Linked DNA regions of Ovis aries. The protein of the gene in region 1 interacts with the protein of each later gene in a biochemical or structural test. Links are inferred from orthologs where the notes say so. Each region holds a gene or a part of one and is shown on either strand. Other genes may lie near its edges.

Region 1 (5,929 bases):
GAACTGACTCATTGGAAAAGACCCCGATGCTGGGAAAGATTGAAGGCAAGAGAAGGGGACGACAGAGGATGAGATCATTGGATGGCATCACTGACTCGCTGGGCATGAGTTTGAGCAAGCTCTGGGAGTTGGTGATGGATAGGGAAGCCTGGTGTGCTGCAGTCCACGGGGTCACAGAGTCAGACACAACTGAGCAACTGAACTGAACTGATGGCACCGTATTTATATTGGCTTGGCCAAAAAACTCGTTCGGGTTTTTCCCATATCATTGTACAGAAAGACCTGAATGAACTTTTTGGCCAACCCAATAGTTATAAAGCATTTTGAGAAATACAGTTGACCCTTGAACAATAGGGACATTGGAGGTCTCACATCAACACAGCCTAAATTCTGAGGATAACTTCTAGGTCAGCCCCCCATATCCCAGGTTTCACATGTGGATTCAACCAACCCGGATTGTGTAGTAACATACTACAAATCTACCGAAAAAAAAAATAAAAAAGCCAAGTACTGATACAAGTGGATGTGTGCCATTCAAACCCATGGTGTTCAAGAGTCAACTATAACATAATCGAGCTTCCAACCAACCGTGTGAAGTTCTCAGGGAGACAGCATAAATTTGGGTTAAGAGGATGAGCCATAGATTCACCATTTGATCGCAACACTAGAACCTTCAAAAACTTACTTAACCTCTCTGACCCTCAGTTTCCACTAATACTTAAAGTTACCTCACATGGTTGTTGTGCAGGTTGAAGGAAAATATTTAAAGTATGTAATACAGTGTTCCTTGGAGAAGGTGATGGCACCCCACTCCAGTACTCTTGCCTGGAAAATCTCAAGGATGGAGGAGCCTGGTGGGCTGCAGTCCATGGGGTCAGGAAGAGTTGGACACGACTGAGTGACTTCACTTTCACGTTTCACTTTCATGCATTGGAGAAGGAAATGGCGACCCACTCCAGTGTTCTTGCCTGGAGAATCCCAGGGACAGGGGAGCCTGGTGGGCTGCCGTCTATAGGGTCGCACAGAGTCGGACACGACTGTTCATGACAATCAATATAGTGACTTTCATTCTAGATGATATCATTTTTCATCTGTTTCAACAGCTTAAAGAAGATGGAATTTACAAAGGTTTAGAGGAAAGGATTCACAGCTATGAAATGGAGGGGTGACACTCTGAACCCCAATCTTCTGACTCTAAATCTTTCTTTCAATTTTAAGACAGTGCATGCATATTCAGGCTGATGGTAAGTAAATCACTGCTAGAATATTAATAACTTTGGTAAGTAAATTTACTTCAGGCTGACGTTTATGAGGTTATCATTTAACCCATCTACCACTATCACATTTTCTTAAACTGTGAAGAAAGAAGTATGTTACCTTATGTTATTACAGCATTTTCTTTAAAAAAAGAACATTATTTTCCCGTTTTTCGTTCATTTCCAGCTTTCACTTTAGGTCTAGCTTTACCAATAAACATCTGACACAAAAAGGTTTCCTTAAGTTTTCTACAAACATTATACTTATTACTTAACCCTCAAATAGGGTTTGTGGACAGCAAAGTCAGTAGTACACTCAGTTTAAACATGAGATAACTCAGTAAGGTTAAATGCTCAAATCGAGGCAACAGAAGTAGTCTTTCTAATTCTTAAAGTTGAGAATGAGTGGCTGCTGCTGCAGCTGCTGCTAAGTCGCTTCAGTCGTGTTCGACTCTGTGCGACCCCATAGACGGCGGCCCACCAGGCTCCCCCGTCCCTGGGATCCTCCAGGCAAGAACACTGGAGTGGGTTGCCATTTCCTTCTCCAAATGAGTGGCTGGGTAAGAAGTTATTATTAATTACACTAAAAGATGATAATATTTATACATGAAAATTTATCACCTCCTAAAAAGCTGAAAAAGCATGGAAACTGTTGATAATACTGTAATTAAAAAAACACAAAACAAAAACGTGGACTGGTCCTGCCGAGATGTGTTGAGATTGGGCTCAAATGCCCCAAAGACGGGCTTGAGAACAAACCGAAGCCCAGTAAAAGCGCCGCACTGACTGGCAGATTCCACGCGAACCACTTGCCTCCCACGTGTCTTTCAGGAAACGCACAGAACACGAGGGATAAAAGGAAGCCAAAGAGGGCCAGGGGAAAGGTAAAAACCGTGGCTACGGCTTCCCTGGGAGACTGAGGGCTCCCGAAGGCTGCGGCAGGCTGGAGGGACCTCGCGGAGCATCAGGCAGGTATCGGGGTCTGCGAACAGGCCTGGAAGGAGCACGGGGAAGGCGTTCGTTGGGGGAGCGGGCGGTCCGTGAGCCCCACCCCTTGGAGCTCCGTAGAGGATCAGCTCCCCTGGATCGAGTTGGGAGTGGAGGAAGTGAGAGCGCAGAAGAAGGAACGCATAGAGGAAGGAATCGCTAGAGGAGCGACAGACAGGTGGGAGCTAGTCAGAGTCCCAGGTTCGCGGGGGTGCGGGTTGGCCGCACCCGCGAGACCTCCGGGCCGCCGTAGCCCCGCCCCCAGCGCGTGGCGCCCCGACGCTTGGCGCGCGGGCCGCTCTCCTTACAGAGGTCGCTCTTGCCCGAACGGTTGGACTCCCTCTGTTGCGCCTGCGTAGTCGGGAGGGGAAGTGAGGCGGTTTCCTCGGCGCCTTTTCCGGCGGCGGCAGCGGCAGAACTGGGAGGAGGCTGTGGAGGCCGGAGGGAGCCCGCGCGCGGGGCGGCGGCTGGAGGTAACCTCCTGGGCTGAGCTGACGAGGCGGGCCCCCTCGGCTTCCACTCTCCGCTGGGGCTCCCGCAGTAACTCCTTTTTCCCTCTCTGTGTCTCCGCAGGCAGCGCACCGAGTTCCCGCGAGGATCTATGACCTGACCGGGCGCCAGAGCCGCGCTGCCTCTCGGGTGGCCTGGGTCGGTGGTGAGCGCGGTGCTCGCGGACCGGGGACCGGGCCGAAGGGCCGCAGTCTTCCAGGAGAAGGCGGAGGAGCGGGAACCGCGGCGGCGCTCGCGCGGCGCCTGCGGGGGGAAGGGCAGTTCCGGGCCGGGCCGCGCCTCAGCAGGGCGGCGGCTCTCCCGGCGCAGACTCAGCGCCCGGCGGCCGCGGCGCCTGGAGGAATCAAGTTGTGTGGTGGGTGATGCCCGAGTGAGCGGCGGGCCCGGGCCTCTGCCCAGAGGAGGCGACTCCCACGCAGGCCGCACGGGCGCCCTCGCGACTGGGAGGCTCCGTTTCTGTTTCGCGGCTGCGGCGGCGTTGTTGGCGGAGGGGACCCGGGACACCTGAATGCCCCCGGCCCCGGCTCTTCCGACGCGATGGGGAAGGTGCTATCTAAGATCTTCGGGAACAAGGAAATGCGGATCCTCATGTTGGGCCTGGACGCGGCCGGCAAGACAACCATCCTGTACAAGTTGAAGCTGGGCCAGTCGGTGACCACCATCCCCACTGTGGGTTTCAACGTGGAGACGGTGACTTACAAAAACGTCAAGTTCAACGTATGGGATGTGGGCGGCCAGGACAAGATCCGGCCGCTCTGGCGGCATTACTACACCGGGACCCAGGGTCTGATCTTCGTAGTGGACTGCGCCGACCGCGACCGCATCGACGAGGCCCGCCAGGAGCTGCACCGCATTATCAATGACCGGGAGATGAGGGACGCCATAATCCTCATCTTCGCCAACAAGCAGGACCTCCCCGATGCCATGAAACCCCACGAGATCCAGGAGAAACTGGGCCTGACCCGGATTCGGGACAGGAACTGGTATGTGCAGCCCTCCTGTGCCACCTCGGGGGACGGACTCTATGAGGGGCTCACATGGTTAACCTCTAACTACAAATCCTAATGAGCATTCTCCACCCATCCCCCGGAAAGGAGAGAAATCAAAAACCCATTCATAGGATTATCGCCACCATCACCTCTTTCAATTGCCACTTTCTCTTCTTTTGAATTTGAACTCTGGAGTTACAGTTCTGCGGTTTGGGGGAGGGGGTTAGGGATTTTCTTTCTTTTTTTGCTTTGCGTTAGGATGCTCTGATCTGACTTTTTGACATGAACACAAAGTGCTAGATGCTCTTGTTGACTTCCAGCAAATGGGATGGGGGAAATATAGCAGTTCTTGGTAAATTCCTTTATAATAATGGTTTGATTTTTTTATCTCGAGAGAATCTTCTTTTCCAATGTATGCTTTTTTCCTTTTTGCCCAGTTTCCTTATCACTTGCTGTAGATGGCTTATTTTGCATTCATGCAGACTATGTTGCAAGTCTGTTTCATCTAGTAAACTGAAAATTATTGCTTAATCAAACTGCTGTTTGTCTTTTATATTTAAGGCCTTTTCGCCCCCTCTTATGAGTTCTGACTTTAAGTAAATTCAAATGTGACCTTTTATATCTAAGACCAGTATAGTAAACTTAGCCCACAGTGGCAAATAATGAGTAATATCCTTGTAATATGTTCCAGTTGCACATCAGTATGTTAAACAGATAATGTAAGCAGTTCTTTGAAATTTCAGCTATTAAGTTCTGAAACGTACATCATGCATGAGTAAGGATAAAACTCAAGTTCCCCATTGCAAAGCTAACTTACACTGCATAAAACTGAAAATATAACCTGTCAAGGACGCAGATTTTTTTTCACTTCAAAATTAGCAACTTTGCTGTGTTTTCCCTCTTTGTTAACTTTAAAAACATACTCTTCCAGAAAATGGAGCAATAATGGTGTATAACATACTCAGATGAAATATTTGTAGATATTTTAAGTGACTTTTGGGCAAAACTGGAATATATCCTTTTACCATGTTTCAAATATCTAAAGACCAGTAGATTTTAAATTACTGGAATGGTTATTTTGTTCATTAATTAATTATTTAACAATTCAAATTATATGCACCTTTTACCTAGTTGAAAAAAACCTGTTTCCACATTACAGCAACTGATTAACCTGAAGATGTCTTTTTTTTTTTTTAGTAAATGAGTGATCCATATCCATTAATTAGAACACTGGAAAAGATGTTTTATAAAAAGTATTCTGTTGGATTAACTCATGCAAATAGATATCCTGTTGGTTCAAAAATACACTATCTCCTTTAAGGAAGGAAATGTGATGAATGAATGATGTGTAGACTTGAGGAATGACAAAGGGGAAGTAAGATGTAGAAGAAGAACCTACAGATGACAATGAATGTAAACTTATTTTTCTTCAAGTGTAAGCAGTGTGCTTGCTGGTGATACCCAGATCTTAACAAGATTACTTGCTTAGCTGGTTAGGACCAGTAACTAGATTATTGAGACCACTATGATAAAACTTTGAACCAAATGTTAATGCTTGGTATAGAACAGTGTAGCAGCATCTGGTTCTCGTATAGCCTTAAGGATTAATTGTAGAGATCCTCAAGGAATTAAAACTTAGGGAATTTCAAAAATGTAGACTGCAAACGCAGTTTACAGGAAAAGGTGAAGTGGGTTTTGTTTATGAGGGTGTCTGAAAACAAAAATTGAACGGGATATCATGGTATATGATTGGACAGTATTGGTCCTTCATGCTTTGGCCATATTGTATAATGGAGCTTTTACCAAAGATGTATGAGAAATACAAGGCTATAGAAAATTAACTCTTCAAAGTAAAACTCTTGACAAACGTTTTACTTAAAGCAGATGAGAAAAGGTGCTATGTTGTAGGCTCCTAATGGTGCAGAGGGATTTTTGAATTCAAAATGCAACTAAAGTATCAAGTTCTCAGTTTCACTTTAGTAGAAGTATCTCTGGAAATGAAGCTGACACACATCTAAGAACATTTTCGTTGCTTTTAAAATTCCCAAAGCTCCATCATACATTTAATTACTAGTGTTTTAAATGATTACATATAAGGTACATAAACATGGGTTATACAAATATCAATATTACAGTAACATCCTGAAGAGACAAGCACAAAGGTATAAATGCCTAAACTGGAGGAAA
Region 2 (7,688 bases), on another chromosome or scaffold:
CACATGCTGCTGCTGAGTCACTTCAGTCGTGTCCGACTCTGTGCGACCCCACAGACGGCAGCCCACCAGGCTCCCCCGTCCCTGGGATTCTCCAGGCAAGAACACTGGAGTGGGCTGCCATTTCCTTCTCCAATGCATGGAAGTGAAGAGTGAAAGCGGAGTCGCTCAGTCGTGTCCGACCCTCAGCGACCCCATGGACTGCAGCCCACCAGGCTCCCCCATCCCCGGGATTCTCCAGGCAAGAACACTGGAGTGGGTTGCCATTTCCTTCTCCAATACATGAAAGTGAAAAATAAAACTGAAGTCGCTCAGTCATGTCCGACCCTCAGCGACCCCATGGACTGCAGTCTTCCAGGCTCCTCCATCCATGGAATCTTCGAGGCAAGAGTAACATATACATATATATATATAATATATATGTATGTAAATATATATTCTTTTTCATATTATTTTCCATCGTGGTTTATTATGATATTAAATATAGTTCCTTATGCTACACAGTAGGACCTTATTGCTTCCTTTGCCTTTTATAAATAAAATTAATCCCGTTGGATAAAACAATGAAAAAGGAGTTAGAATTTTCTCCCTGAATCAGTTCATTTATTCCTTAACAATAATGCATCTACCAAGGACATCCCATTAGGGGACGTTATGTTTGGTACTGAAGGTACAGAGATGAATAAGAAGTTCACTGTCTAATAAGGACGACAGACATGTAAACAAGTGACTATAAATCATTCATTCATTCCACAAACACATCTAAGCACCAACTATATATACCATGAATAATAAAAACATAATCTTTGCCCTTCTAGCGCTTGCATGCAATGTGGGACGCGTTCAAATAGAAGGTGCTATAGTCTGCCTCCGTGCAGAAAGAATGCCATGGAAAGCTTTGTAACAGTAAGCCAAACAACAGTAGTAACAACAGCAACTAACCTTTACTGAGGGTGTAAAATGTTCCAGGCAAATACATGAATCTTAACTCTCAAATCAATCCCCAGAGGTAGATATTATTATTACATCCTATTTATAGATGAGGAAGTCACAGCACAGAGAGGTTAGTAGTTTCACCCACATCACACAGGTGGTAACGGTTGGCCTGGGATTCAGAGGACATAACATTGGAACTGAGCCTTGAAAGCTGAGTAGCAATCTGCGAAATGGACACAAAAGTGGTGGGGGGAGTATTCCAGACACAGTGAACGGGAGTGAAATGCTTTAAAATCATCAGAAATTGACAAATTCATCTGCATGTAGGCCGCTGGTGGGAGCAGTGGGGGATGGGCACAGACAGGAGCCGCGTGCCCTAGGGAGACTGAAGGCATGTTGGCACAAAGTGCCACATTTAGTAATATCAGTAAGAATATTAATAAGAATTAAAGCGGCTAACATTCTTCCAGAGCAGCCAGACATAGGCTAAATATTTCTACTCCTTATCACATTTTAGTTTTACTGCAATCAAATGAAGCAACTTGACTGTCTGTTACTCCTTGTGAGTAACAGAGCTGTGGCTCAAACCTGGGGAACTCTGATTCAAAAGCCCGTGCTCTCTCCGCAGCTGGCTCTGTAATACGTGGCAATCAACCCCCATCCCAAGGGAAGCAGAGGAGTCAGAGGAAGACAGGAAGGGCAGAGAGGGGTGGATTCCTGCTCCAGCCCAGGAGACAATGAGAAAGTGAAAGTGTTCATTGCTCAGTCCTGTCTGACTGGTCTGAGACCCCATGGACTGTGGCCTGCCAGGCTCCTCTGTCCATGGGATTCTGCAGGCAAGAATACTGGAGTGGGTTGCCATTTCCTTCTCCAGGGACTCTTCCTCACCCAAGTATCGAACCCCAGTCTCCCACATTGCAGGCAGACTCTTTACCACCAGGGAAGCCCAGGAGAATATGATACAGCCTTTAATCAAACAAGTGAGGGTTGTAGGCTGGAGAAGAGATTCGAGAAATGTGTACACAGAGGTGGCCCTGGAGACTTAAGATCAGGCAGTGAAAAGGAGGGAAGAGATGTGGAAAATAGCCAGCTGTCTGAGAGAGGGTGATTCTCTAACCGAGTGGAAGGATGGGAATAAGCAGGAAGAGGTGGGGGCAGAACGGGAGAGGGGGAAATGATGCTCAGGCCAACATCGCCCAGGCTAGAGATGAAAGGGCCTGCTGGGCAACTAAATATCTGAGGCAAATCCACCGTGAAGGCACAGATTGGCCAAAACCATGTTAAAGGAATGAGAAAGGAGGTGTATTTGGCTAAGGAAAATGTAAAGAATAAAAAGATGAACAGAAACCTAGAAAACCTCAACTATTCAGGAAAGAATCCATTTTCCCACATACACACACAGAGATTCCAGACATATCTGCCTTATTTAAAAATCTGAGAAGGAGCTTTCTTACAAGTAAAGGTGACTGTTCTTAATGTTATCTCTGGAAAAACTTATTCTCTTCCCCGTGGGAAGTATTGGATTACTTCTAGGGGGTATATTTCTGCTGCAGAAAATAAGCTAGTTTAATGGGTATGTTTAAAAATGTGAAGGAAAAAAAAAAAAATAGTACTAATAGCTTCTCAGCGTTATTACCAAAAATCTGCTAGGCATTCTGAGCCCAAATCGCGGAAGTCAGGAATTCCACTTTGGAATAAGCTCTCTGCCTGGAAGCACAAGCGCTCCGAGGAAATACCATTCTCTGCCTTTACTTACATTCTCTCTTCACCTTTCACCCTAAACAATATCACAGTAGGGCTTACCTGCCTTAGGAATCTGTACCAAAGGCGATTTCTCCCGTTACTCTCTTTAAAATTTAAAAAAAAAAAAAAAAAAAGGAAAACTTCCCACTGTTAATATGTAGCAAATGAAAAAAAAAAAAAAAACAGCCCTTCTGGTCCGCCCTCCCTGACTGTTGCTACCTTGCAGTTTATGACACAGACTGAGGGAGGGCTGCCGGAGCGAACCAGGCGGCGGTGGGGAGCAAGTCCCTTGCCGGGGACGCGGGAGTCCCTGGAGTGGGCGGCTGTGCCCACTGGAAGCCCGCGACGCGGTCCGCACGGCCGGGGACCATGTCTCCGCGCGCCCTGCCCGGCGAGCCCCGCGGGAGGGAGGGAGCACCCAGCCGGGCGGGGGCAGAGGGAGCCGCCGCGGACCTGGCAACGCTGGCACTGGCTCGACTCTCCCAGACAGTTTTGAAGTCAGCAAAACAGAAATCGAATTACTACGATGCTGGCAGTGGCCGCTCGGGGAGAAGGGGCTCTCTCTGCCGGCTTGATCACCAGGAGAGATGCAGCGAGTCACAGATGAGCCGAGCGTGTCTCCCGGGCGGACCCTGAGGACCCGTGTAAGTTGCCGCGCTCTCCGGCTGGCTGCTGTGTTTTACGCTTGTGTCATTTTCTTTCTGGCTTGAAAGGCTGCTTGGCCGCCATGGAATTGTTTCGATGAGAATTCCCAGTGTGGAAAGTTGTCTGCTGATCCTTAAGATTTTTTTTTTTTTTTCCCTTTGATTAACTAAGCCACAGAATACAAGCTGAAATTCCTGAAGGCAGTCGGGGCAATGCATCCCAAGACTGACAACTATAACCCAAAGTACCACTATACTTACTATGGGATTTACCCTGGATGTGTTTTTAACAGCCTGCCGTACTGTAGGCTGCCTGCAGCCCCACTGTTTGGGATCGAATGCTATTTTAACGCTGCTGTGGCTAAACTAGTATGATCAGTGTAACCAATGGAATGAGATAGAGCTAAATGACAGTCCTGGTAGTTAACAAAACTTTTCTTTTTTTTTTTGGCCAGGATTATATTTTTCTCCCTGACTCCTCAAAACTCAGCAACCTCTCTCTTAAAAGTTTATGCTGCTTTTTTGATCTTGCTTTGGAGAGAAAAAAAAGAAAAGAAGCTAGACAGAGGATTCTACTGAAATTGTGAAGGAAAGCACTGTAAAGAAGCCACCGCAGTTCTTTATCTTCTATTGTAATAATGGAAGAAGAAAAGCCAACCGATGGAGCCCAGCACATACGCCAGCCTCATTGTGACAGAGCTTGGGGACATAAAGCTGAATGGTGACCAGAGCCTGTAACCGGTAAGGTTTTTCTTACACTTCATCTGCTACAAGTTCCGGCTTAGAAATGGATATTCTCTGTGAAGAAAACACTTCTTTGAGCTCAACTACGAACTCCTTAATGCAATTACATGCTGACACAAGGCTCTACAATACTGACTTTAACTCCGGAGAAGGTAACACTTCGGATGCATTTAACTGGACCGTGGACTCGGAAAATCGAACCAACCTTTCCTGTGAGGGCTGTCTCTCACCACCCTGCTTCTCCTTACTTCATCTCCAGGAAAAGAACTGGTCTGCTCTGTTGACAGCGGTAGTGATTATACTAACCATTGCCGGAAACATACTCGTCATCATGGCAGTGTCCCTAGAGAAAAAGCTGCAGAATGCCACCAACTATTTCCTGATGTCACTCGCCATAGCTGATATGCTGCTGGGTTTCCTGGTCATGCCCGTGTCCATGTTAACCATCCTCTATGGTGAGTGGCATTAGCTTCCTAGCTGTACCCACATGGGTAACAAAACGCACGCATGTCATTAGCAGATGAGTCTGGGCTCAGGGGACCAACTAAGCGTAAGGCTTTGTTTATGGAGGAGGGGCTACCATGTTATACTACTTAAATTTTAAAATGAGATCACATTGTAAAAGATCAGACAAACTGTATGCTGTGATCATTGGAGAGTTTTGTGCTTTGAAACATACACAGTTTACACAGGGAGAGAAAGCATTGTGCTTAAAAGCACGTACATTTTATGTAGAATTATAAAGGTCCCAAGACAGTCCTAAAGCAATAGCATCTGTCATATCTGAATCCACTTGGTTTTCAAGCCTTTATATTCCCAACCAAATATCCCAGCCTTCGAGACAGGCCAGTTTGATCTTGGTCACACTGCTTTCAGTACTTCTAATGGAGTGGTAAAACCTTCCCAGTTCCCTTGGAATATTTACAGAGAGAACATTAGTAGTGCAGTGGGTTTAATGTTAAAATATGCAGCGTCTCCATTAGACTAAATGACTTATACCAGTTTTAATTGTTCCCTGCCTGAAGCAGCATTAATTTGGAGGTGTGCCTTTGAATTCTACCCCTCAGCTCTTTAAAAATGCATATGCATAAACTCCTCCCGAATTGTTTGGAGGAGGGTGGGAAACACATGGGAAGAGATTTATCTTGCCTCTTCTCAGTGGAGTTTGAAAGAGTCAAACCTCTCAGCAAGTCAGCAAACACTGGGACGACTTCAGCGGGAAGCAGAATGTGATATTCTTTCCAAATTATGAGTAATATAGCCAGATGTCTCCGTTTAAAAGTGGAAGAGGAGGGGAGATTATTGAGACCGCTGACACAGGCACACCAGCCCGTCACCTAGAGCTAGAAACAGTTTATGGGCATTTTTAGAAGGGATTTTTCTGGCTATGTCTTAAGACCTAAAATATGTGTATCAATCCATCCCCAAGCAGTATGGAGGAGGAAGGAGGTGAGCAAGGGAGCGTGGGCGTCAGGTTTGCACAGGGTCCACAGTGCTCCTTGCAAGGCCAGCCCCCGCTTGACGACTCAAAATGTCACACCAGGATGATCTGATTACATTCGCTTGTCATTTCCCAGACATCCGGGAGAGGTCCCCGCTTCCTAAAACCCTGCCATGTGGAAGGCAAACTCCAGGAGTGGGAGATGGCTCCCAGAGGGCCCATCCGGGAACCCAAGCCCCGGTGGGAGGCGGGGAGCGGTAGGTACCCCAGAGCGGCGAGTGGGGCTGGCAGATGTCAGCCAGGTTAGCAAGTCGAGTCCAGCTGGGCACCGCCGGCTCGGGGTGCAATGGTGCCCCCTGGTGGCCGAGGCTCTGTGCGCAGTTGATTCCCGAGAGAGACGCGCCTCTCCTTTGGCTGGTCCCCAGGACTCCACAGAAATGCCCCCTCCTTATCCCCACCACAGAAACCCAGACTACGGTCAGCCGCTGCCTCCTTGCAGAGAAAACTCCTCCCACGGTCAGCATCAGTTCCGACCAGGCAGCGGGTGGTTTCCTCCCAGGCACTGGGCTCTCCTTGGAGCTCAAGCTCTCTGCATACAGCATAAAAGGCGCCAAGTCAGACTTGTCTCCTGCGCTTTAACTTTTCTAAACATCAGTGGTGGCGTCTTGGTAGAGATGGTTTGTGAATAGAGACTTTGTTCAGCTTTGCGGGTCCAGAGCGTGGGGAAAGATGGTTTTCATAATTTTCCTTCTTAACATGTGTGCAGATCTAACACCACGGCTTAGATTGTCATCAAAACTAAGGAAGGTTCCTATAACCATTTGATCTCCCTCTAAAACAGATACAGGAGACTGTGTGTCCCTCAGACATACCCTATCTTTTTAACATAGCAGGTGACTTCCTGCCCTGCATCTCACAGTGGATCCTTATGGTAGCTTTAAGTCAATTTAATGTTGAGGTCCAACTTCCACCCACCCTCCTGGATATCAGGACACCCAGAAAAGCTGTTCAACTGATTCTAATGTGCACCCCTGGGTGAGAACCACTGCTCCAGGCAGTGGTTGCCCAAGTGTGGTTCCTGGACAGGTAGCATCCGTACCAGCTGGGAAATTGTTAGAAATGCAATTCTTCCTGCTCCACTGCACATGCGTAGAATCAGAACACCTGGAGGCGGGCTCCAGTGGCTCATTTTAAGAAACCACCTCGGAGATTCTGAGGCTCCTTCAAGTTTCAGCATCACTTCCCTGAAACAGTTCTCAGAAGAATACCATCCTTTTCTTCACCACTGTCTTCATCCCTCCTGCCCCACCTCCTGTCCCTCCAGTTTGAATTTAATCCCCAAATTATTAGGGAAGCTTCATTTTCATGAAGGCATATACCCAGTCTGTGGAGAAGGGCATGGCAACCCATTCCAGTATTCTTGCCTGGAGAATCCCAGGGAGAGAGGGGCCTGGTGGGCTATAGCCCACAGGGTCTCACAGAGCCGGACATGACTGAAGAAACAGCATGCACACATGCCCAGTCTGGATTTTTAAACATTTCTTCATTCACACCAATAGCATTTTTGGCAGACTGCTAAATGCCGTCACTGCACAAGACTGAGCAATTGTAATAATGGCTAAGAGATGGTCTAACCTCAGGAAACCTACAGTCTGAAAAAAAGTAAGTCAATAAGTAAGTAGCTAATAGGATTCTTTGACCAGGCTCCCCTGTCCATGGAATTCCCCAGGGTTCTTTGATAGAGGAACCCAAAGTACATCACAATTCCCAACCTAAGTCATTAAAAACAAAAAGAGAAGTAGATATTGTTAGGTAGAGGAGACAGAACGAGAGAAACCCTGAAGAGACACAGCCTGAGTTTACAACACACCAGCATGATTCCAGCTATAAGTTTTCAAATCTTGCGTTCAACCAGGGCAGTCTTACTCTACTTCAGTACAGTTGATTGACATCAGGCTGCTCTGAAGTACTGAAAATATCTCATGTTGCCCTTTGCTGTTAACCATGCCTTCTCCCAGGATGAAAACTATTCAAGCAGGGTAAATTTCATGCACCAGAGAAGCTCAAGGTCACTCGCTAATGCTAACCTTCTGCATCCCAGGGTACCGGTGGCCTCTGCCCAGCAAGCTCTGCGCTGTTTGGATTTACCTGGATGTGCTCTTCTCCACGGCCTCCATCATGCA

The links.
Region 2: the proteins of ARF6 (region 1) and HTR2A form a complex in vitro, tested with the Homo sapiens proteins (2 studies listed by BioGRID). The link is inferred for Ovis aries from reciprocal best matches to the Homo sapiens genes ARF6 and HTR2A.

The regions. Positions count from the first base shown.
Region 1 is NC_056060.1:41,105,397-41,111,325, forward strand, and holds ARF6 (ADP-ribosylation factor 6), read left to right. Parts: upstream 1-3,290; coding exon 3,291-3,818; downstream 3,819-5,929. UniProt on the Homo sapiens protein: GTP-binding protein involved in protein trafficking that regulates endocytic recycling and cytoskeleton remodeling. GTP-bound form plays an important role in the transport of multiple palmitoylated proteins form the Golgi to the plasma membrane.
Region 2 is NC_056063.1:17,203,659-17,211,346, reverse strand, and holds the start of HTR2A (5-hydroxytryptamine receptor 2A), read left to right. Parts: upstream 1-3,160; 5' UTR 3,161-3,320; intron 3,321-3,775; 5' UTR 3,776-4,107; coding exon 4,108-4,519; intron 4,520-7,606; coding exon 7,607-7,688. UniProt on the Homo sapiens protein: G-protein coupled receptor for 5-hydroxytryptamine (serotonin).